4 linked regions of the Drosophila melanogaster genome follow. The protein of the gene in region 1 interacts with the protein of each later gene in a pairwise test. Each region holds a gene or a part of one and is shown in the gene's direction. Other genes may lie near its edges.

Evidence for each region.
Region 2: the proteins of Secp43 (region 1) and lobo interact in a two-hybrid assay, tested with the Drosophila melanogaster proteins (one large-scale study listed by BioGRID).
Region 3: the proteins of Secp43 (region 1) and Prp39 interact in a two-hybrid assay, tested with the Drosophila melanogaster proteins (one large-scale study listed by BioGRID).
Region 4: the proteins of Secp43 (region 1) and ens interact in a two-hybrid assay, tested with the Drosophila melanogaster proteins (one large-scale study listed by BioGRID).

Annotation. Positions count from the first base shown.
Region 1 is NT_033779.5:4,452,662-4,456,345, reverse strand, and holds Secp43 (tRNA selenocysteine associated protein), read left to right. Parts: upstream 1-1,892; 5' UTR 1,893-1,983; coding exon 1,984-2,019; intron 2,020-2,080; coding exon 2,081-3,055; 3' UTR 3,056-3,177; downstream 3,178-3,684. Other genes in the region: Gs1l (GS1-like), read left to right, coding at 14-232, 608-1,020; ND-B8 (NADH dehydrogenase (ubiquinone) B8 subunit), read right to left, coding at 1,208-1,290, 1,352-1,458, 1,520-1,617; CG15439 (uncharacterized protein), read left to right, coding at 3,395-3,684.
Region 2 is NT_033777.3:25,190,777-25,195,404, reverse strand, and holds the start of lobo (lost boys), read left to right. Parts: upstream 1-1,628; 5' UTR 1,629-1,750; coding exon 1,751-2,167; intron 2,168-2,238; coding exon 2,239-2,367; intron 2,368-2,598; exon of another isoform or gene 2,599-3,120; coding exon of another isoform or gene 3,121-4,628. Other genes in the region: dan (distal antenna), read right to left, coding at 3,430-4,628. UniProt on the Drosophila melanogaster protein: Key component of the nexin-dynein regulatory complex (N-DRC), essential for N-DRC integrity. Involved in the regulation of flagellar motility. Involved in sperm motility. Required for the sperm to enter in the coiled storage seminal receptacle (SR) tubule.
Region 3 is NT_033777.3:28,810,323-28,817,890, forward strand, and holds Prp39 (pre-mRNA processing factor 39), read left to right. Parts: upstream 1-1,779; 5' UTR 1,780-1,792; coding exon 1,793-1,832; intron 1,833-1,842; exon of another isoform or gene 1,843-2,072; coding exon 2,073-2,164; intron 2,165-2,245; exon of another isoform or gene 2,246-2,319; intron 2,320-2,382; coding exon 2,383-3,229; intron 3,230-3,295; coding exon 3,296-3,492; intron 3,493-3,558; coding exon 3,559-3,684; coding exon of another isoform or gene 3,685-3,888; exon of another isoform or gene 3,889-4,825; coding exon 4,826-5,100; intron 5,101-5,159; coding exon 5,160-6,476; exon of another isoform or gene 6,477-6,534; coding exon 6,535-6,841; 3' UTR 6,842-7,032; downstream 7,033-7,568. Other genes in the region: wdn (wings down), read right to left, coding at 1-763; CG1523 (uncharacterized protein), read right to left, coding at 7,150-7,568.
Region 4 is NT_037436.4:4,131,502-4,136,222, reverse strand, and holds the start of ens (ensconsin), read left to right. Parts: upstream 1-1,672; 5' UTR 1,673-1,720; coding exon 1,721-1,769; intron 1,770-2,400; coding exon 2,401-2,454; intron 2,455-2,566; coding exon 2,567-2,674; intron 2,675-4,010; coding exon 4,011-4,267; intron 4,268-4,333; coding exon 4,334-4,473; intron 4,474-4,721. Other genes in the region: RfC4 (replication factor C subunit 4), read left to right, coding at 240-404, 457-1,287.

The DNA of each region.
Region 1 (3,684 bases):
ATTTGCCGAACAGACACCGAACGCCTTTATACTGTGGCCACCGAAATGATCCTCGAGCCCTACGGCAAGACATATCCCTTTGAGATCAAGGAGCAGGTCATGGGCCTGCAGACGGAACCGCTGGCCCGGTTCATGGTCGAGCACTACGAGCTGCCGATGTCGTGGGAGGAGTACGCACGCCAGCAGCGCGCCAACACCGAGATCCTGATGCGGAACGCCCAGTTGATGCCAGGTACTAATCCCAGTTCTCGCTTTGCCGTCACGTTTCAGACACGGAGAGGATATACGAGGAGGTCACCCGGCAAATAGCCGCCTCCTTTGGCCGCCCGTATCCGGAGGAAGTGCGTTTCCGGGTAATGGGCACCACGGACCAGCGCTCGGCAGAGATAGCCATCACCGAGTGCCAGCTGCCCATCACAACCGGAGACTATCTCAAGCGGTACTCGCAAATGTGCCACGAGCGATTCCACAACGTACCCCTGCTGGAAGGTTAGCACCACGACCAGAAAACTAATCGGCATTTCTCCCTATAAATACTTCTGCTTCAATTACTATCCTACTGTGATTAAAGCCGTTTGTTAATCGTGTGCTTCCTTCCCCGTTCAAGGTGCTGAGCGCCTGCTGCGTCACCTGCACGCCAACAAGGTACCCTTTTGCTTGGCCACCAGCTCCGGCGCCGACATGGTCGAGCTGAAGACGGCCCAACATCGGGAGCTGTTCTCCCTGTTTAACCACAAGGTGTGCGGTTCGTCGGACAAGGAGGTGGTCAACGGCAAGCCTGCGCCCGACATTTTCCTAGTGGCCGCCGGCAGATTCGGTGTGCCGCCCAAACCGTCCGACTGCCTGGTGTTCGAGGACTCGCCGAACGGCGTGACGGCTGCCAACAGCGCCGGAATGCAGGTGGTGATGGTGCCGGACCCACGACTGTCCCAGGAAAAGACCTCGCACGCCACACAAGTGCTGGCCTCGTTGGCGGACTTCAAGCCGGAGCAGTTCGGGCTGCCCGCCTTCACGGATTGAACTTAATGGCTGACGTACTTTTTGTAGCTAAAAGATGCTATTGCTGTAATTGGAAATCGATGTACCTACCAAGAAAATGAATTTAAGTGTAAATGTTATCCCATATACACGTATACGTATGTGTGCATAAAGCATCTGGCTTTGCCTTTATTTTGCGCCTAATCTACATAGTTTTCCAGCGTAAGTTCTATTTGCCAACCGCTTCCAGGTTTTTGTGTATGTCAGGAGCAGCGTGGTTGGCCAGGGAGAGGGACACTTCCTTGCCGTTGCCTGCGGACATGGGAATCGATGTGGGGGAAGCTAGCAGCGCACATTATGCTAATCTACTCACCATAGCGGGCGTAGAGGCGGGGCTGGACGCCAGAGCACTCGCGCACGAGGATCGGCAGGTCGGGATTGCTCTTCTTCAGGTTTGGATAGAACCTTTCCACGTATTCCCTGTAAAGGAACGCTGCTTTAGCAAATTATATAATTTAAAAGCGGAAAATGACAATTTCACCTGACTCCCTTGGAAGTGTCTCCTTTGGGATCCAGAATGATTCGCAGCTCCTTCAGTTTTGGAGTAAAACTGGCCAATCGGAACAGAGTAATACCCATTTTGGCACCACTTTTGCGATTTTGAAATGTTCAGGAAGTAAGTCTATTTAAATGTCGGTACTACGCAGGGTTGTCAAACTGTCTTGGATTACATATTGGTATTATTGTTTTTTAAAAACAAATTACTTTTTGGCTCAAACTAAAATAACGTCTAACTCACCAGAGACGCGAACCATTAGTTGCATCGTTTGAATATCCATTCCAAAGACAAGAACCAAGGCAATTGTCTTGGCTGACACCAGGTCAGCATTTGATTGGCCCACATCGATAAATACCGATAAATGCTTGACGGCCAGTCACTCATTTGTTTTGGTAAACATCATTTGTCTCTGGAAAATATTCAATTGAACACGTATTTGAACAATTATGGCGTCCGTGCATTGTCAACTGTGGATGGGAAGCGTAAGTAGCAACGTGCATTACCCCAGACACATGACCCTTTAAGCCCGCATGGCCATTTCAGCTGGAGTCCTACATGACGGAGAACTTCATAATCGCCGCTTTCCGGAAGATGGGCGAAGATCCCACCACGGTGCGCCTGATGCGCAACAAGTACACGGGCGAACCGGCCGGCTACTGCTTCGTCAACTTCATATCCGATGACCATGCGCTGGACGCGATGCACAAGCTAAACGGTAAGCCCATTCCGGGCACCAATCCCATTGTGCGATTCCGTCTTAACTCGGCCAGCAACTCGTACAAGCTGCCCGGGAATGAACGCGAATTTAGCGTCTGGGTGGGCGACCTCAGCTCGGACGTGGACGACTATCAGCTGTACAAGGTGTTCTCCAGCAAGTTCACATCGATCAAAACCGCCAAGGTGATCTTGGACAGCCTGGGGTTTTCCAAGGGTTACGGCTTTGTGCGATTTGGCATCGAGGATGAGCAGAAATCAGCGCTGTACGACATGAACGGGTACATCGGATTGGGTACCAAGCCCATAAAGATTTGCAATGCCGTGCCCAAACCCAAATCCGAGTTGGGTGGTGCTGTGGGCGAAGGCAACACAAACTATGGATATGGAAGCGGTATGACTGCAGCAGGTGGCACCGACTACTCGCAGTACTACGACCCCACCAGCACCTATTGGCAGGGATACCAGGCCTGGCAAGGTTACTACGAGCAGGCCGGTGCTTCGATCACAGATGCGGCTGCATACTACCAGCAGGCCATGTCGCAGTCGCACTCTAATCCGCAGACTCTGGCCCAGCACGCCGAGGCCTGGAGCGCACAACGCAGCGCCCAGTACGAGCAGCAGCAGCAGCAGCAGACCGCTTCCGCCGCCAATGGAGCTGAGGATGAGAACGGACTGGTGGAGCACAAGTTCGTCCTGGATGTGGACAAACTGAACCGAGAGGCCATTGATGCCGACCGCCGTCTGTACGATGCTCTGGAGAGCTCTAAGTGGCTGCCCATTGAGCAGCTGGAAGTCTTTTAGGATACTTATCTACTATATTTATAGCTTACTATAATTACAGCTTAGATATAAGCAAAAAATATAAAAGCCTGACTTGTAGCGTATTATTGTTTTTGAGCCTGCTATAAACTTTTATGCTCCTGAATCTACATTTCTTAACAAAGGATTCAAAATAAAGGATACATTTTTACAAAATATCCCTAATATCCTTACAACAGATGTATTTTATCGATATACAGACGGAATACTATTCTGTCCGTGTCATCGCCATGTCGGCCTATCGACTGTCGATAGTTTCTGCCTTGGCCCGAGACTTTCGGAGATTGTGCAGACAATTGCGGACTAAATAAGCGTTGAATCATGAAGCGAGCGCGGCAGCCGAAGATTACTACGCAGGCCCTGCTCGATTTTGACTTGGGCGAGAGTTCCTCGGATAGCGACTTCCTGCCGGACATCGACAACTGCTCGGACGGATCGAAGGACGAGAGCGATGGCGACGGTAGCAGCAGCGACGCCAGTGGTGGCTCCGATTCTGAATCGGATTCGGATGCGGAGAGCGAGGATTCAACACTGCAGCTCCGGCAGCTGTTGGCGGAAACGGAACCGTCACCACTGGAGAACGGGATCAATGGAGTGGACCACTGCGCAGC
Region 2 (4,628 bases), on another chromosome or scaffold:
ACAATGGCTGCAAAGGCGCTTGACACTCGAGACATCCGGGGCGCCTGCGCAAGGACCACTTTTGGCCAAGGAGTCAGCCCAGGACGACATGTGCTTGATTGAACCTCCGACGCGCAGCGCCTGCCTTTGTTTTTCTAGGGAACACTTAGCGCGAGCCGCGGCAATTAAACGGCAAACTGAGCGCACACAAAAATTAGTGCTTACGCATCTTGCCTCAGACGGCGGCCAGGTAGACCGCGTCCAGTCCTCAGTCCTTGCCACAGGACCAAGCTGGACGAGGCAGAGCAAGGCGACACCCAACGACAGGCGACTACTAGCGGCCAATGTGGGAATCAAAGTGCGTAATTGAGTCGCTTAAAAGCGCCAAATGGTTTCATGAATGTACCGCTCTCACCAGGCTCACCAGGTAGACGCTCGCCTTTCAAATGCGAAAGGAAGTACAAATAAATCCTAGCGCCAGCCATAAACGGATCAACTGCGCCGATCTCAATCCGCTGGTCTCCGCTCCTGCTCATCGACAAGTTCTGCGCTCGCTAATTATTCCTGAATGCGGGTTTTATTGATGCAATATAAATAATGCAAATGCAATTTGTGGTGCATGCAGACAAGGGGGTGGTCCCTAAAAAATGTGCCATCTAAGTAAGCCATTGCCACTGTCGCTGCCACTGCAGCTGCGGAAGACCAGCATTGAGTTTTCGACGGGTAATTATGTAATATGCATAATGACAATAAATAAAGTTAGTCGAAATATACATATGTATGTATGTAGGTAACCAGGGAAAAGATTAGGTTGAATGTGGAATTAGCTTTATTTAAATTAAATCAACAAAAAATGCACAAGGTGAAGAAGTAGTTCTATATATTATATCAATTTTTCACATTTAAAATATGTGACTTGTCATACAATTTACCAAATATTTATAAGTAGGGAAGTTTTGTGCCTTCTGTGCTATAATACAAATATAACTTTGATACATTCCATCAAATTTTATAGAAAATAGCTATTGAAAAAATAGCTAATTGAAAATGACTAGCGAAATGAATGGAAATTAAATAGTTTTTTATTTTCTTAAAATATAGCTATGCCTTAATATTCAAGGCTAAAAAGCAGTAGGTAATCAATCGTTCAAGGGCTTACCTACTATTTTAAAAATACTAATGTCAATTTTAAAGTTATTCTCTTCATGACATGAAGCTTACTACTATTCTTTTGCTAAAAGGTGATGGCCATATGCTATTCACAACCTGCTTGCTCTATTTTAAAAATGTTCGTTACAAAAAGACTTTTGGGTAAAATTGTTACCCTACTTCAATTTTACATGTAGACACTTAACCGAGAAAAAAGCAGTAGAAATTGATATACGAAGCAGGGTAAAGAAGTTCAAATCTAATGCCAAAGCAGTTACAAACCAGTACAACGGTTATTTAGCCCAGACGCAAACCAGAATCAGGAAGTAAAGTAATGTAAAGTAAAGTTTTCAACCGGAAGAAGGAAATGTTCGTTCTTATAAGAAGTTATTTCAAGCGAAACCCACACAAAACTAATTAGAATTACGAAAGTTTTTTAAGCAAATTACAATTTTTATATATTTTATTTGCTACAATGAACAGACTAGCACAACACAATACATATTTCAATTTCTGTCACATCTAGCCGTTAAAATATATATTTTTCTACAAACACCGTAGTTATAGAAACGAAGTTTCTTGTTTATTATTTTAAAGAGCCGGCAATTGTAACCACGCCAAAATGCCGAAAGTACTGTTTCAGAAGTACAAGAAGGTGGTGAGCAACATCGACCCGAGTCGCTATAGCGCCAAGTTCAAGGAAATCGACGAGCAGAGGCGCTCGCAAGGTTCGGAATCGGATTTTGCAGATGAAATGGAGGGCGAGTTCGAGGCGGAAATGGAGGAAATGGGATCTAGTGAATTTAGTTTATCCGAAGGAGAACCATCGCTCAATATCGGAAAGATCGATTTATCCTTTCCCGAAACAGTCGAGGAGTTCGAAAACAGTCCCCAGTGCTATCCTCCATCGTACTATACCCTCTCGCCCAAGGAGCGGTTGCTCCTGCTGTACGCTGAGAATTTCCGGAAGCAATTGGTTCTCAGCTACCCAAAGAGACGAGCCATGGTCTTGGCCCTGCCCAACGAATGCAAAGTACAGGTGAAGTCAGCACCATCTGCTCCTTTAGTGGCCAGCGTTTTGATAAATTGCCACTCTTAACCAACTTACAGAAATTCGTTTGCACCACCATCAGGCCAACGGCGTTTATTTACACGCAACTCATATCAAGTGTCGAGGAAATTGCCAAGTTTGTCGCCGATTTCATTCAGTATGAGCCACTGCAGGATCCCATAAATTTGGTAAGTCTATTATGGCAAAGTTGAACCAATCACATATCCATTATTCTTATGTTCCGAGCTCATGTAGCAATATATTTAAAAGTTTATGCGTTCTAAAATGTTCAATAACTTGACCAAGGCAATTTATACTTGTAAATATAAAAGTAAAACATTTAGGTATTTTAGTAGATATATATGAAAAACCACTTAGACCCTCCAATACGACAGCGGTAAGTAAATACGACGACAGTTCTAAGAGTTTCATAAAAATTATCTAATTATTTTTTATTGAACATGTATTTAAAATTACATTTAAATTTGTAAATGTTTTTATTTAAATATCGCATTAATTCCGAATTAAGAAAATTCTTTTGAGCACATTTCCATAGTTATTAATATACGAAATTTAAAAACGTTTGATATCAAATGCATGCCATTCGCGCCAACACACCTTGCAGTTCGAAAAGTATTTTTTCTTTTTCGTAACAAAAACTAAGGGCTATAACATTTTTCTAGAATGCATCATTGGGTGAAAAAACAAACTAACAAAACAGAGTCGGTTGTCTTTCCGTTCAAAAAGAAATGCATAATAGCTACAAATAGAGTTTCTCGATATATACACGTTAACCGTACGATTAATTAATTAATACAATGCAATGCAATGCAATGGAGTGGATTCGAATTGAATTGAAAGATACTGAAAGTATGCTCGATAGGTTTCACAGCTAGGAGATAAATTCAGTGGAGTCCTCCGGATGCGTGGAACCATGTGGTCTAACTGCTGGAGCTCAGTTCGTCGTACTGCTGGTACTCGCCCGTGATCTGGCAGTCGTCGGGGTCATCGTCGAGGTCACAATGTACAAATTCGTAGGGAGGGAAGAACAGGGAGCTGAGTAGGGTGGCCGACGATCGGTAGACGGCCGGCGCATAGACATGGCACCTCGTCGAGCCCTCGGCGGTATCTGCATTTGCATCTGTAGCCAGGACACCGGGTCCTGGCTCTGCATCGTGCAGAGCACCGTCTGGGCTATCCTCTATCTCTGTATCCGTGGCTGGCTCCGTGGGCGCCAACTTTGGCTTTTCCTATTTGCGACGGCGACTCTTGCCCCGCCCACTGCCCTCCTCCTCCGCGGCGTGCTCCTCGCTGTCCTCCGGCAAAGCGGATTTCTCGATCATCGGTGTCTCGTTGCCCGACTTGATGGCGGCTATTAGGAAACGAAGTTGCATCAGCTGCACGGCCGTCACGCGGGGATTGCTGCAATTCTCCAGCCACTGCAGGAACTTTTCGCCATGGCGGATGGCCTCGATATCCTCGTCCGCCGTGCAGTCCAGATACTTGGCCTTCTCCTCCTCGTCCGTTTTGTTTGAGTTATTATTGTTATTGTTATTGCTGGCGCTCACATCGTTGTTGTTCGTATGCGGATTGCTGGTGTCCTGGAAGCTGCCCTCCGATTCGGAGGATCCCTGTTCCGGCATCAACGGACCAGTGGCCTCCATTCCGCCCATCTTGAAGAGCATATTGTCTAGGATCTTCTTGCATTCGCTTGTGGAATTCGTGGTCTCTGGGGTTTTGGTCTTCGCCTTTGGTTCGGGACTCCTGCTGCCTGATGAATGGGCAATGGGACTTTGCGAAGGGGTCATCACTTTGCCGGCGGCTGAGAGATCCTCCGGTTTCCCGGATGCCTCCGGCTCCACTTCGCCATCGAGATCGGTTTCGGTGGCCTCGTCAGCCTCGGGATTCTGTTCGTTGGAGGACAAACTTCTCACCGACGGCGTCTCAGTCTCTTTCGTGAGATGGGAGTACAGTATGTTCGAGGGATCTCCCATGGATCCCCCCTCTGCGGCCGTGGTGGCCACCTGCTGCTGCAGTTGGTTGGCTTGCAGGGCGGCCAAGGTGGCGGCATTGGGATTCAGGGTATGCAGACTGGCACCGAACGCCTTGCACCAGTTGTACCACGCCGCGTTCTTCTCGTCCAGACTGCCCGACGGTGTGGACGAGGGTGTTAGCGGAGCCGAGGGTATCGGCGGAGTCTGTGCCAACTGACTCATGTGCTGCGGCGTGGAAGATCTGATAGGGGGACTGGTCACGCCCATGGGAATTGTGGGCGGATAAAGGGGATTCAGACCCAACATGGTCTGCTGCGACTTGAGCCAGTAGAGCAAGGGATCTTCGGCCAGATTGGAGAGCGTCATGGGCCCGCCCATTTGCGAAGGAGCAATCGAAGGACTGGGACTCTTGATATCGCCTCCCTTGCCCTCGTTCTTGATGCTCAGATTGAGGC
Region 3 (7,568 bases), on another chromosome or scaffold:
CAGCCGGAGGCGGCATGCTAGCCGCATCCGCCACCGATTCAGCCGATTTGGCCTGCTGGAATATGGTAAACGATGGCGGCAGCAGCTCAGACTCGCACACCTCTACCTTGGTGACCACTTGCTCCGGCGGATGCTTCTCCTCGGGCGGCTCCTCCTTAAAGACCTTCAGACGCACCGCCGTCGCCGCCGGCAGCTTTGGCTTGCGTTGCAGCAGCTGAGACTGGGGCATTTGGAGCTGATGCTGCTGGTGGAGCTGCTCGGGCGATAGCTTTACGGGTGTGGAGGTGCCGCTGGACGAAGTCTTCTTAAACGGGGAATTAGTGAAAGCATTCGGGGGCTCGGGCCGCAGGAAAGTCACACTAAACTCCGAGCTGGAGTGGTTATCACTGGTCAGAGTGCTGGGCACGGTTGACGAGCTGGTGGCAGCCAAGTCATCGCGGCAGACGTCCGAGGATAGATTCAGCTCGGTGTTGTTCTGGGCACTCTCGTCCAAAACGCGCCAAAAGTCGGTGGAGGAGAGACTGTTACCATTGACCAGGCTGGCGGAGCTGATGGTCACGCACGCCGACAGATCGATGTCCAGCGACTCGTCCTTGATGCTCGATATCGAGTCGAAGTTGTTGATCCGCAGCAGAGAGCTGAGTATCTCGTCGTGGGCCGCCTTCGTGGGGGTGCCCGCATCGCCGCCGTAGATTTTAGGCGGCAACTTCTTGCTTGGCGCCTCCTCTTTCATTCTCTTGCCCTCGCCCTTGCCGCCTTCCATTCGCCTTGCCTTGCTTACACGTACAGGTTATGCGGTCGGCGTTTTCGCTCGCCGTATTTTGTCTTTGTTCGCCGCGCCGCTGACGCTTTGCGTTCACTGGTCGCCGTTGCCCGGTCACTGGGTCCCCAATTCACTCATCGCGATCGCTTTCGTTGTATTAAACGCGCCGCAATTGATCGAAAAACATTTAATTATTGTGAAATGCGCCTTGGCTTTGTTGTTTTTGTCACGCTTACAATTCTCGAGTCGCCATTTTGAGAACAGTGTTAGAAGACGCGCACGAGTGGCAGTCCCGCTAAGAGTGATGCTCGCCAGGCGGGTTATTAGCTATATTTAATTCACGACTGGATTCACCATTCTAAATAACATTTAAAGAGATTTCTTGACTCAAAAAGAAATCTTGTCCGACAAGGAAACATTTTACTTACCAATTCCATTTACATGTTTGTATTTACTTGATATAATTCACGATTATGTTGTATAGAAACTATAACAATTTTTTGGGCTTTTAAAATCCTATGCATTGAACATTCAAACCCTAAATATTAAAGGAAGTAGGCCCAATGATTGTGTTATTTGTTTATGTTTTTTATGTTAACTTAATAACCCACTAATTTATAATATGTGTAACATTAAACAAATTTTATCTTCTTTCATTAAGAATTATTTATGGTGATATTTAAAGTCCTCTTACCATAAAATATTTAAATTATATTTCTAGCTGGAACATGTAATTTCTGCTAGAATTTGTATGTTGAGATAGGTTCTGCATGCGCACGCCAAAAAATGAACTAGTTCGCCGAACTGGAAAAACACTGAGCACTTAGGCTATTTTCGTTATTAAATTATATTTTTTGATAGATTGTATATAATTCATTCATCAATGCTAAAAAATGATAAATATCGAAATTCGAAAAACCTCTGAAAAATATTCAAAATATAGCTATGAGTCAGTCGTCAGTCTTGACCAAACAAAGAGATATCGATATTGGCGGGACATGTATATCGATACCACGTTGCAATGTTAATATGGCGTCAGAGGGCGAAAACGTTGTTATGGAAAGTCCAGGTAAATTGATGAAAAATTACAAATACGTGCATTCCTTCGACCGGACCTAGTGACCGTTGATTAAAAATTCAGTCCTTACTAGCCCATTTCGGTAGCTGACACTGACAGTTAGCTGGAGCAGCCCATTAAAGCATTTGGAAAAAAGTGAACATCACGAGGCAGCGAACAACCCACAACACCGCGCGTACAGTTTATGTAAACCGCATGGATTAACCAAGAAAGTTAATTGACGTTTTCCAGGTCGCCGCACACGTTCTGGTCGGAAGGCCGCATCCCCGGCTGCATCGCTGCCAACCAGAAGCACCCGGCGCACATCCAAGCGGAACGTACAGGTCAGTTCATCCCACGTAGTTACCGCCTCTTCCAGATCATCAGCCAATGATGTAAACGATTGCAATTTCCAGTGTGGGTGTGGCGTTGTTCCATCCGCACATGATTCTTCTCCCTGGAGGAGCGAGTGATTACCTGCAAGGGCCAACTGAAGGCACAGCATCCACAAATGCTCTGAGAAATGCCGGGAACCTTCATTAACGACTTTTAATCCTTTCAGCTAAGTGACCACGAAGAGGAGGCCGAAGAGCAAGTGGTCATGGTTCAGGAAGAGGAGGAGCCCTTTAGAGGGACAAACACTGCGGAGGCACCTGCTTTGGAGCCCCAATTCGAGGAGACTCAGCACCAGATAGAGGATGACGTGGAAATGCTGCCAGCCGAAGCTGCTGGGGTTGATGAAAAGAGCTCTTCCTTCCCGTTTGGCACGGTGGCGGAGCTGCATTCAGAGACTAGTGATGATATTAAAGAGACACGCGGTCAGGCTGGCGTGGACACCCTACTGGCTTCTTTAGCCGGCGATAATGCCAACAGCCTGCCCTCCGTGGGTGGAAATGACGAGAGTGACAATGTCAAGAAGGCGGACTTTGAGTACAATGTAGACTCCCTGCAGCCGCAGATGGAGAAAATGAATTCCTCTGAGGACTCCAGCTCACAACATGCCATTGCCGAGGATCTGGCCGATGCGGACACCAGCAATGCAACCATTGTCAACACAGAGATAGTCTCCGAGGATGAGCTACCTCTGCCCAGCAAGCCTGAAATAAATGATGCCGAGGAAGTTTCCGATGAAGAGCTTCCAGCACCGCAGCGGGCTGAATTGCCAGAGGATGCTGAAGTAATCTCGGAGGATGAACTGCCCGCCAGTAATAACAATAACACCGCCACTGAGCCCAAGGCACCTTTGAAGCGCAAGGCGGAAAACGAAAGCGTTAAGAGCACCGAAGATAAGGATGCAAGCAGTCATGAATCAAGCACAAAGGATAAATCCTCCGAGCAATATAATCCGGGCAGTCCCACATCTGAGAGCAACGACGCACAGCCCTCAGAGAAAAAACTCAAGGTCGAAGGTAATTGTTAATCTTCCAATGACTAATTAGTTGGTAGAGCTTGACTCACAATATTTAAACCCACAGAATCGGAGCCCAAGGAGAAAAAGAAGGAAAAGGAGCGCGATAAAGATAAGGAGAAGGATAAGGACAAAGATAATAATAAGGATAAGGAAAAGGAGCGAAAGAAGCTGCCGGACCTAGATAAGTACTGGAGAGCTGTCAAAGAAGACTCCACCGACTTCACCGGCTGGACGTACTTGCTGCAATATGTTGACAATGAGGTGGTTATTTAGCCGAACGCCGCATATCTTGAACTTTAAATAAGCAATTTTCTTCTTTCTCAACAGTCTGATGCGGAGGCGGCGCGCGAGGCCTACGACACATTCCTGTCCCACTATCCTTACTGCTACGGATATTGGCGCAAGTATGCCGACTACGAGAAGCGCAAGGGCATCAAGGCAAACTGCTATAAGGTGAGTACCCCACTTACATTTGGTCGTGCAAATAAATATCTTTCGCAATTTCTTGTACTACGCTTACAATTACGATTACAATTGATATTCATATATTTGTTGTTAAATGCAATTTATTATGACCTAATAAAAATACTACATTCAATAAATGCAACATCTACCAAAATACACCAAATTGAGAAGACAAAACCAAACTTGCCATGAGACTAGTGCAGCATCCACTTAGGATCGTGTTTTCTCATAGGGTTCGTGTCTGCTAAATACTTTTTACGGGAGATGAATCTAAAAAGGGTACGGATTTAATTTTTTTAGATGGTGAAAGCTTTATGGGGGAGCTTGGCAATTTGTTTCAAAGGCTAAGCTAAGTAAATGGACTTAATGGGTCGCGTATAGAGATTGCCTCCAAATTTGTTTACGTTTCTTTAAAGTAGTTTCTGTTTTGTAACCTTAGTTACACCAAATTCATAATTTCGAGACCGGACGTCGACCTTATTTACCACTCCGTACTCCCTACACCTTAGCACTTTTTTTTTGGCGATCTTAGCCCCTGAGATATTGTCCTTAATCTTCACGACACTAATTGGACCGTTTAAGCATAAGCCACTCCTGTGTCGCACAAATCACGCTGTAACTCAGCACAGACTAGCTCAACTCTGTTGACCCTCGAACCCCAGACCGACCTGAACCCGAAAGCGACTGGTTCGTCTACTCGAAGTACGATCCGTCTACTTTCTGATCTTCGTACGTTTGTATCACCAGTTACCTCTTCAGTTACGTTACCTCCATCCTTCTTCAACACGATATAAATAGTGAGATCGCATCTCGTACAGTCGTAAGTACAAATGGCGTTTAAATGAAATTTTTAAGTCTCTTTGTGAATTTTGTTGTAAATCGAGTGCCAAAAAAGAAATCAACTACAACCTGTGTGTTATGTATTCCGTGTACTTGTTAAGTCGCTAAGTTAGCTTTTAAGCCCGAACACCATTCACATCAAAACGATAACCTTAAGTATCTGAGCACTTAACTCTTGAAATCTTACTATAAACCACGAATATATTTTTATATTTCTCTTCTGCGATCAATCAACAATAAATGAAAAAATCAAAACTTGTACCGAACATACGAAATGACCAAATCCTAGGTGTTTGAGCGCGGACTGGAGGCGATTCCGCTGTCCGTGGATCTGTGGATCCACTACCTAATGCACGTTAAGTCCAATCACGGAGATGATGAAACATTCGTCCGCTCCCAGTATGAAAGGGCAGTGAAGGCGTGCGGCCTGGAATTTCGATCGGACAAACTCTGGGATGCCTACATTCGTTGGGAGAACGAGTCAAAGCGGTACCACCGTGTGGTCCAGATCTACGATAGACTTCTGGCCATACCGACACAGGGCTATAATGGTCACTTCGACAAGTGAGTTCCACTCAAATTGGTTTTGTGAAACATGCGAATAATGTACATGCACATTTCAGTTTCCAAGATTTGATCAATCAGCATGATGTAACTATCACACTTGCAAACGAGGAGGTGATCCGTCTGCGCAAAGACTTCCACGAACGTCAGCAGAGCAAGTCCTCCAAGTCCTCGTCGAAGCATCGCCGGGACAGCAGCAGCAGCTCCAAGGACAAAGACTCAAAGGAGCGAGAACGTGAGAAGGACAAGGATAAGGACAAAGACAAGGACAAGGAGAAGCGAGAAACTGTCGGGGGCGGTGTTGGTAAGTCGCCAAAAGATACAAGTGAAACTCAAGTCGATGAATCAGATAGTACTACCGATCTGACCACCGAAAGCGAGTCATCGCATGCAGCTTCAAAGCCGGCAATGCAGATCGATTTCAGTGATCTTAGCACTCTGAATGACGAAGAGGTGGTCAGCATTAGGGACAGGGCTATCTCGGCGCGGCGCAAAGTCCACAAGTTGACCGTTAGCGCAGTGACAGCCCGCTGGTCCTTCGAGGAGGGCATCAAGCGGCCTTATTTCCATGTGAAGCCACTCGAGAGGGCACAGCTCAAGAATTGGAAGGACTACTTGGATTTCGAGATCGAAAAGGGTGATCGCGAGCGAGTCCTGGTTTTGTTCGAAAGGTGCCTAATCGCCTGTGCTTTGTATGACGAGTTCTGGCTGAAGATGCTTCGTTATTTAGAGTCTTTGGAGGATCAGAGCGGAGTTGTGGATCTGGTACGTGATGTTTACCGCCGCGCCTGTCGCATCCATCATCCGGACAAACCGAGTCTGCACCTGATGTGGGCCGCCTTCGAGGAATGCCAGATGAACTTTGACGACGCCGCTGAAATTTTGCAGCGTATCGATCAGCGCTGCCCCAATCTCCTGCAGCTTTCCTATCGTCGTATCAACGTGGAAAGGCGTCGAGGAGCACTGGACAAGTGTCGCGAGCTGTACAAGCACTATATAGAGAGTACAAAGAACAAGGGCATTGCCGGCAGTCTGGCCATCAAGTATGCCCGTTTCCTCAATAAAATCTGTCATGATCTCGACGCCGGCTTGGCCGCCCTGCAGCAGGCGCTGGAACGTGATCCAGCCAACACTCGTGTGGCCCTGCAAATGATCGATTTGTGCCTACAGCGCCCAAAAGTCGATGAGCAGGAGGTAGTCGAAATTATGGATAAGTTCATGGCTCGTGCGGACATCGAACCCGATCAGAAGGTTTTGTTTGCCCAGCGCAAAGTGGAGTTCCTTGAGGATTTCGGCAGCACGGCCAGGGGTCTACAAGACGCACAGCGCGCTCTGCAGCAGGCACTCACTAAAGCCAAGGAAGCGCAAAAGAAAAGGTAAGAAATCCATGAAGATGTATCCACACTCATTCATTAATCATGGACATTCCAATAGTGATGGCAGTCCTAGTCGCAAAAACTCATCAAGCAGCAAAGAAGGTCCTGTCCCCACAGGATCCGCGGCGGCAGCTTACAACAATGGTGGCTCGGCCGCAGCAGTCGCAGGCTACAACTATGGAGCAGCAAATCCATACTATGGTCAGCAGAATACCGCAGCAGCCTATCCCTCACAGACGCCACAACAGGCGTCCTACGACTCTTACTACAATCAGTGGGGCTACGGTTCCGGTGGGGCCAGCGCCAACAGTGGTGGTAGCGGCTACAACTACGGCCAGTGGAGCGGTTATGGCAACTACTATTAAGTTCGCTGCCTAGATGTAACCCACTCCGCCACCTGTAGCTCTAAGACGCTACGGCTTGTTTAGTTTTGCCTTGCTGCTCTGTTAAGTTGTACACATCTAATTGTAATTTTTTATCAACCCCTATTTGAGCCCACAAAATAACCCCACCATTGCGAAAAATAAAATATACCAGCTTTTTATCGGTCCACCATAATCGCGTTGCTTGTATTTAGCCAATATATGCTTGAAATAAGTCGAATTATGCCTAAATAGAAAATTAAATATACAGATTGACAGTGAGCGCGCTCTTCGCCCGGCTCAACTGAAGTCTACAGGTTGGGTCGATACCAGGTCACCTCGCCCCCGTTGCATCCGGTTACAAGGAGCGGTTCCCTGGGGCTAAACTTGGCGCACAGAACGACGTCCTGGTGTTCGGTGATCTTGGCTAGCTCAACCAGTTTCCGCGGTTTGCTTTTCACCTCCTCAAACGCCTGACATTTCGGATAGTCGCAGCAGTCCTCACTGTAACCAAAGAGTCTTACCCCATTGCCGTACGGCGAGCAGACAACCCGACCGTCCGCGGAGAATCCAGGTTCCTTGATGAAGCCCGGTTTGGTGTTGGTCTCGGCGGCATAGTAAAGCAGTTTCTTGGCATTCACCAGTATTGAATGACCGTTTTCCTTGAACGTTGGCGTTGTCACAGGACTATTGAATGATCGCAGACGCAGCCTGTTTCCGATCTCTAAGC
Region 4 (4,721 bases), on another chromosome or scaffold:
TTTATATATTGTTGAGCGTGTGTTCTTTTCCTCATTTACAGAATATTTTATGATCTGAACGTTTTTTTTTTATATTTGAATTTCAAATAATTACCTTTATGGACCTATCGGTGTTGCTAAGAAATCGATAAATGTAAAAAATACCAGGCCTAACCGTTGTGTTTTGGCGCCCAAGAAACGGCCACACTACAGCCCCACGCTTCAATTTGTTTGTGCGAATTTGTGAAATTGCACATAAAATGCCGGAAGAACCAGAGAAAACGGCGGACGACAAGCGCAGTCACTTGCCGTGGATTGAGAAGTACCGCCCCGTGAAGTTCAAGGAGATAGTGGGCAATGAGGATACCGTAGCAAGACTATCCGTATTCGCCACCCAGGGAAATGCACCCAATATTATTATTGCTGTGAGTTTGTGAGGAGTAAAATTAGTTTGGCGCCACTAATTGTGATCTATAGGGTCCTCCTGGCGTGGGCAAGACAACCACCATCCAGTGTCTGGCCAGGATTCTCCTGGGAGACAGCTACAAGGAGGCTGTCCTCGAGCTGAATGCCTCCAATGAACGAGGAATCGATGTGGTCCGCAACAAGATCAAGATGTTTGCTCAGCAGAAGGTGACACTGCCGCGGGGCAGGCACAAGATTGTGATTCTGGACGAGGCGGACAGCATGACGGAGGGTGCCCAGCAGGCACTGCGCCGGACCATGGAGATCTACAGCAGCACCACTCGTTTTGCCCTGGCCTGCAACACCAGCGAGAAGATCATAGAGCCTATCCAGTCCCGCTGCGCCATGCTACGATTCACCAAGCTGTCCGATGCGCAAGTTCTGGCCAAGCTCATCGAGGTGGCCAAGTGGGAGAAGCTTAACTACACGGAGGACGGACTTGAGGCCATCGTATTCACTGCCCAAGGTGATATGCGACAGGGACTGAACAACCTGCAGTCCACCGCTCAGGGATTTGGCGACATCACCGCTGAGAACGTCTTTAAGGTCTGCGACGAGCCGCACCCAAAGCTCCTAGAGGAGATGATCCACCATTGCGCTGCTAACGACATACACAAGGCCTACAAAATCCTGGCCAAGCTGTGGAAGCTGGGATACTCGCCGGAGGACATCATTGCGAACATATTCCGTGTCTGCAAGCGCATCAACATCGATGAGCATTTGAAGCTGGACTTTATCCGTGAGATCGGAATCACCCACATGAAGATTATCGATGGTATCAACTCGCTGCTGCAGCTCACCGCCCTTCTGGCCAAACTCTGCATTGCCGCCGAGAAGCATTAGATTTAATATGAACTATAGGTTAAAGAAATCTCAGAGATAAATAAAATTGGAGATAAATAAGTCCTTTTCAGTATTGAATACAAGTGTACCTAAATTTTAAACTGGGCACCGTTAGTTAACAGATTAATGTTAATTTCTATGTCAGCGCACTTAGAGCATATCGTCCCTAATGGAGTGTTAATTATTGCGCCCTTGGTATCGGAAGCTGAAATTATCATACAACATTAGATAATGTATTTATAGGACCGAATGATCATTAGTTTTTATACATAAAACCGGAGTTAGTTTTTATACATAAAAACCAATACGTTAGTTAACATTTCTAGTATTTTCGTAGAGCACACCACTATACAACAGTACGGTCGCATTAAGTAGATTATCGCAGCACTACAGAGCTGGCCACACTGTTTGCAGCGCTAAAGTAAAGTGAAATATGGCGAGTCTTGGGGGCCAACACGGAAATATTTCGACTAATCCAGAAGGTACGCATTGAAAACAACCCGCTGAGAGTGCGAAATCGAAGGACGAATGCCCCCGCGTCGAAAATCGGCCAGGATCTACGCGTTTTCGGGGCGTTTTCAGTGGCCAAAAAGTGCTGGTCGACTGCGCAGCAAAACGGCACTCACACCACGGCCAAAAAGCAAAAACGGAGTGAAGAGAGAAAAACGAAGAAAAAAAACAGCGAGGCGAGAGGCACAGAAAAGAAAAGAAGAGAAAAGCCGAGAAGCCAAAAGTGTCTGCCCCCTAGAAATGGGGGATATATGTATTTCGAGTTCCCCGATTCCGAACCGGAGTTTTGAGTTTATAAATAAGTTCCAGTCGGAAAAGTCGTTGGAACAAGAGAGAGGGAAACATACATTATTTTCTCGTACTTCTCACTGTCTCTCTCGCTTCGTCATCGCAGCTGCTGCCGTGCGCTTGTGTTCGTGCGTGTGTGTGTGTGTTTTTGTGTCCCCCTCCTTCCTCGCTCTTTCGCCTTCTTGTCACCTTTCCTTTTTGCCAAAACGCAACGGCAATTGATTTTCCCCACACACGAAAGCCAAAAGTCCGTGTAAAACTCCGGAAAATCGCAGCGAAACTCAATCGTCCATTTTTCTCGTACTTCTTTTGCAGTGGAAAACACAGCCAAGCGACCCGAAAGTCGCGAGGGCAGCGCCGAGCGAAAAGGTAAGCCTTCTATGCGGATTATCTTGCGAGTTACATAAAATCGGCACCAATGTATATCACACATACGCACTATATGTAATCGCTTTAACATCACCTATAACTCGAACCACAGCCCACGCATTCGCACCTGCCAAGATCTCGGGCTGCAGCGCCGGCGCAACCTTGCATTGGTTCGCCCAGGTGGGCGGTCAAATCTCCGCCAGTGAAGACGACTCTCAAGGTAGTTGGCATTCCATTCAGGCTGCTCCAAAGTCTTCCACAGCCACGCCCCGTTCTGTTCCGCCTCCAAAACGAATGCTCCGAATGTTTGCCGCATGATCTCACTAACAAATAAGACCCATAGTCCGCCTTATCGCGATTTTAACCGTCACTGGTCTATTGCAAGTCTTTCATAGCTGTTTTTCTAATAAGAAAATCTTCTTATCTATTCTCACCCAGTGACACGCTTTAAATCACTGTAGTTTCTAAACTGTCTAGATGTTACCCACTAAAGTGGGTTATTAAAAACTCAAAGCATCTTCAATTAACACCTAAAAGATCAAAATGTTATCTACACTTAAGGTCTAGCTTGATTTTAGATGGCAAGTCCAACTCTAATTATACAAATTTTAAAAATATGTATAGTCATATTTGACTAAATCATTGTGAGAATGCAAAACAAGGAATGATTAAGTTATTGGGAATTTGATCTTAATAACAATGTTCTCAAAGTTTGTTAAGTTAAATTGAACTACATGTTATTACGAGAGCAAAAAGGAAATGGATTTTATCAAGCGAAAAATCAATTGCAATGTTTTTGGCTTTCCAAAAACACAAGTAAATATGGCATACAGTGGGTTAAAATCCAGCAATTTTGCCTGCGACCTTGACAGCTGATAATTTCCCATTTGCAAGATATTTTCGCACCTGTAACTGGCAAAAAGATTGACTTGCAGTTGTTCCTTTGTCGTCTTGCTTACGTCATGGAATTCCAAAAATATCTTAACCGATAAGGCGATAAGAACCAGTTCCCAGTTCGATTATGCAGACTTTGGCAGCCAAACCGCATGCTACCAATATTATTGTTATTATTGTTAATTTTTTTTTTGCATTTTTCCGCCTCAATGTCATTTCAATAGAACAAAATGTGCGCCTGCATTAGCAATTTGCTTTCTATTTTCCTTTTATCATTTGTTTTTTTTGTTGTTCGCCCATTTTGCACATAGGCAAATTTGAAGCGGGGGCGGCGGTATTGTTGTCCGAGTATTTGTGCCATATTTGTTATTGTTGCTGCTGCTAGTTTGTCAATTGACCCACAAAATGCGAGTGTACATTGTCGATGACGTCAGCTCTCGGCTCTCATGTAAATAACTCGCCGGCAAAAGTCGAAAAATGGGGTATAATACTACACATATTAAGCAGATATTTATCGATTTTTGTTGGGCCACAGGTAGCAACTGATGAAAATATTCCCAGTTTTATTTGCTTGCGAACCGTAACTTGTTTATCCAAATTCAATTTATGCCCTTATAAGTATGTGCGAATTCGAATCTCTATTCATTTTGCTACGCTTTTAGCGTCCAAAGACCGTGAGGAGAAACTAAAATATGCCCGCGATCGCCAAAATGAGGAGCGCCACCGGAAAATCGAGGAACTGCGTGCCCAGGCGGAGGCCGCCCAGCGGTACCGTGAACAAAAGGAGGAGGAGCGCCGTCGACGCATCGAGGAGATCCGTACCCGGGACACAGAGAAGCGCCACCAGGTGGAGGAGCGCAAGAAGGCCATTTTCGAGGCCGAGAAGGAGCGCCGCGAGTACATCCTCAAAAAGAATCAGGTGCGTGCGTTATCGCTTCGATTCCAATGAACTTCTATTATAATTCTTGTTTTTGATCATCCACAGGAACGCGAGTCCCGGATAGAAGTGAAAAAACGGGACAGAAACTCCATCGGCTTCGCATTTGGCTCCTCGACTCCCCGCCTGCTGGATGTGCCCGCGGATTATGGTCTGGTATCGCCCAGTGCCTTTTGGGGTCAGCGGAGGTGAGATCCGAATGAAAGTTATCTGAGCACAAAGCCAAAAACTCACACAAAACGCGCACACTAATATGTAGCCATTCATGGCTATCTAGATTAGTATATATTTTGGCCGATTTCATATGTGCTTTGCGCTGCACATGACTAATTAGCGCTGCACTCTGACTGGCATTACTTAATTATTTTTATCAGTTCTTGAACTTTTAATGACGAAATTGTTTGCCAAAATATATAAATCACAATTAGTATAATTA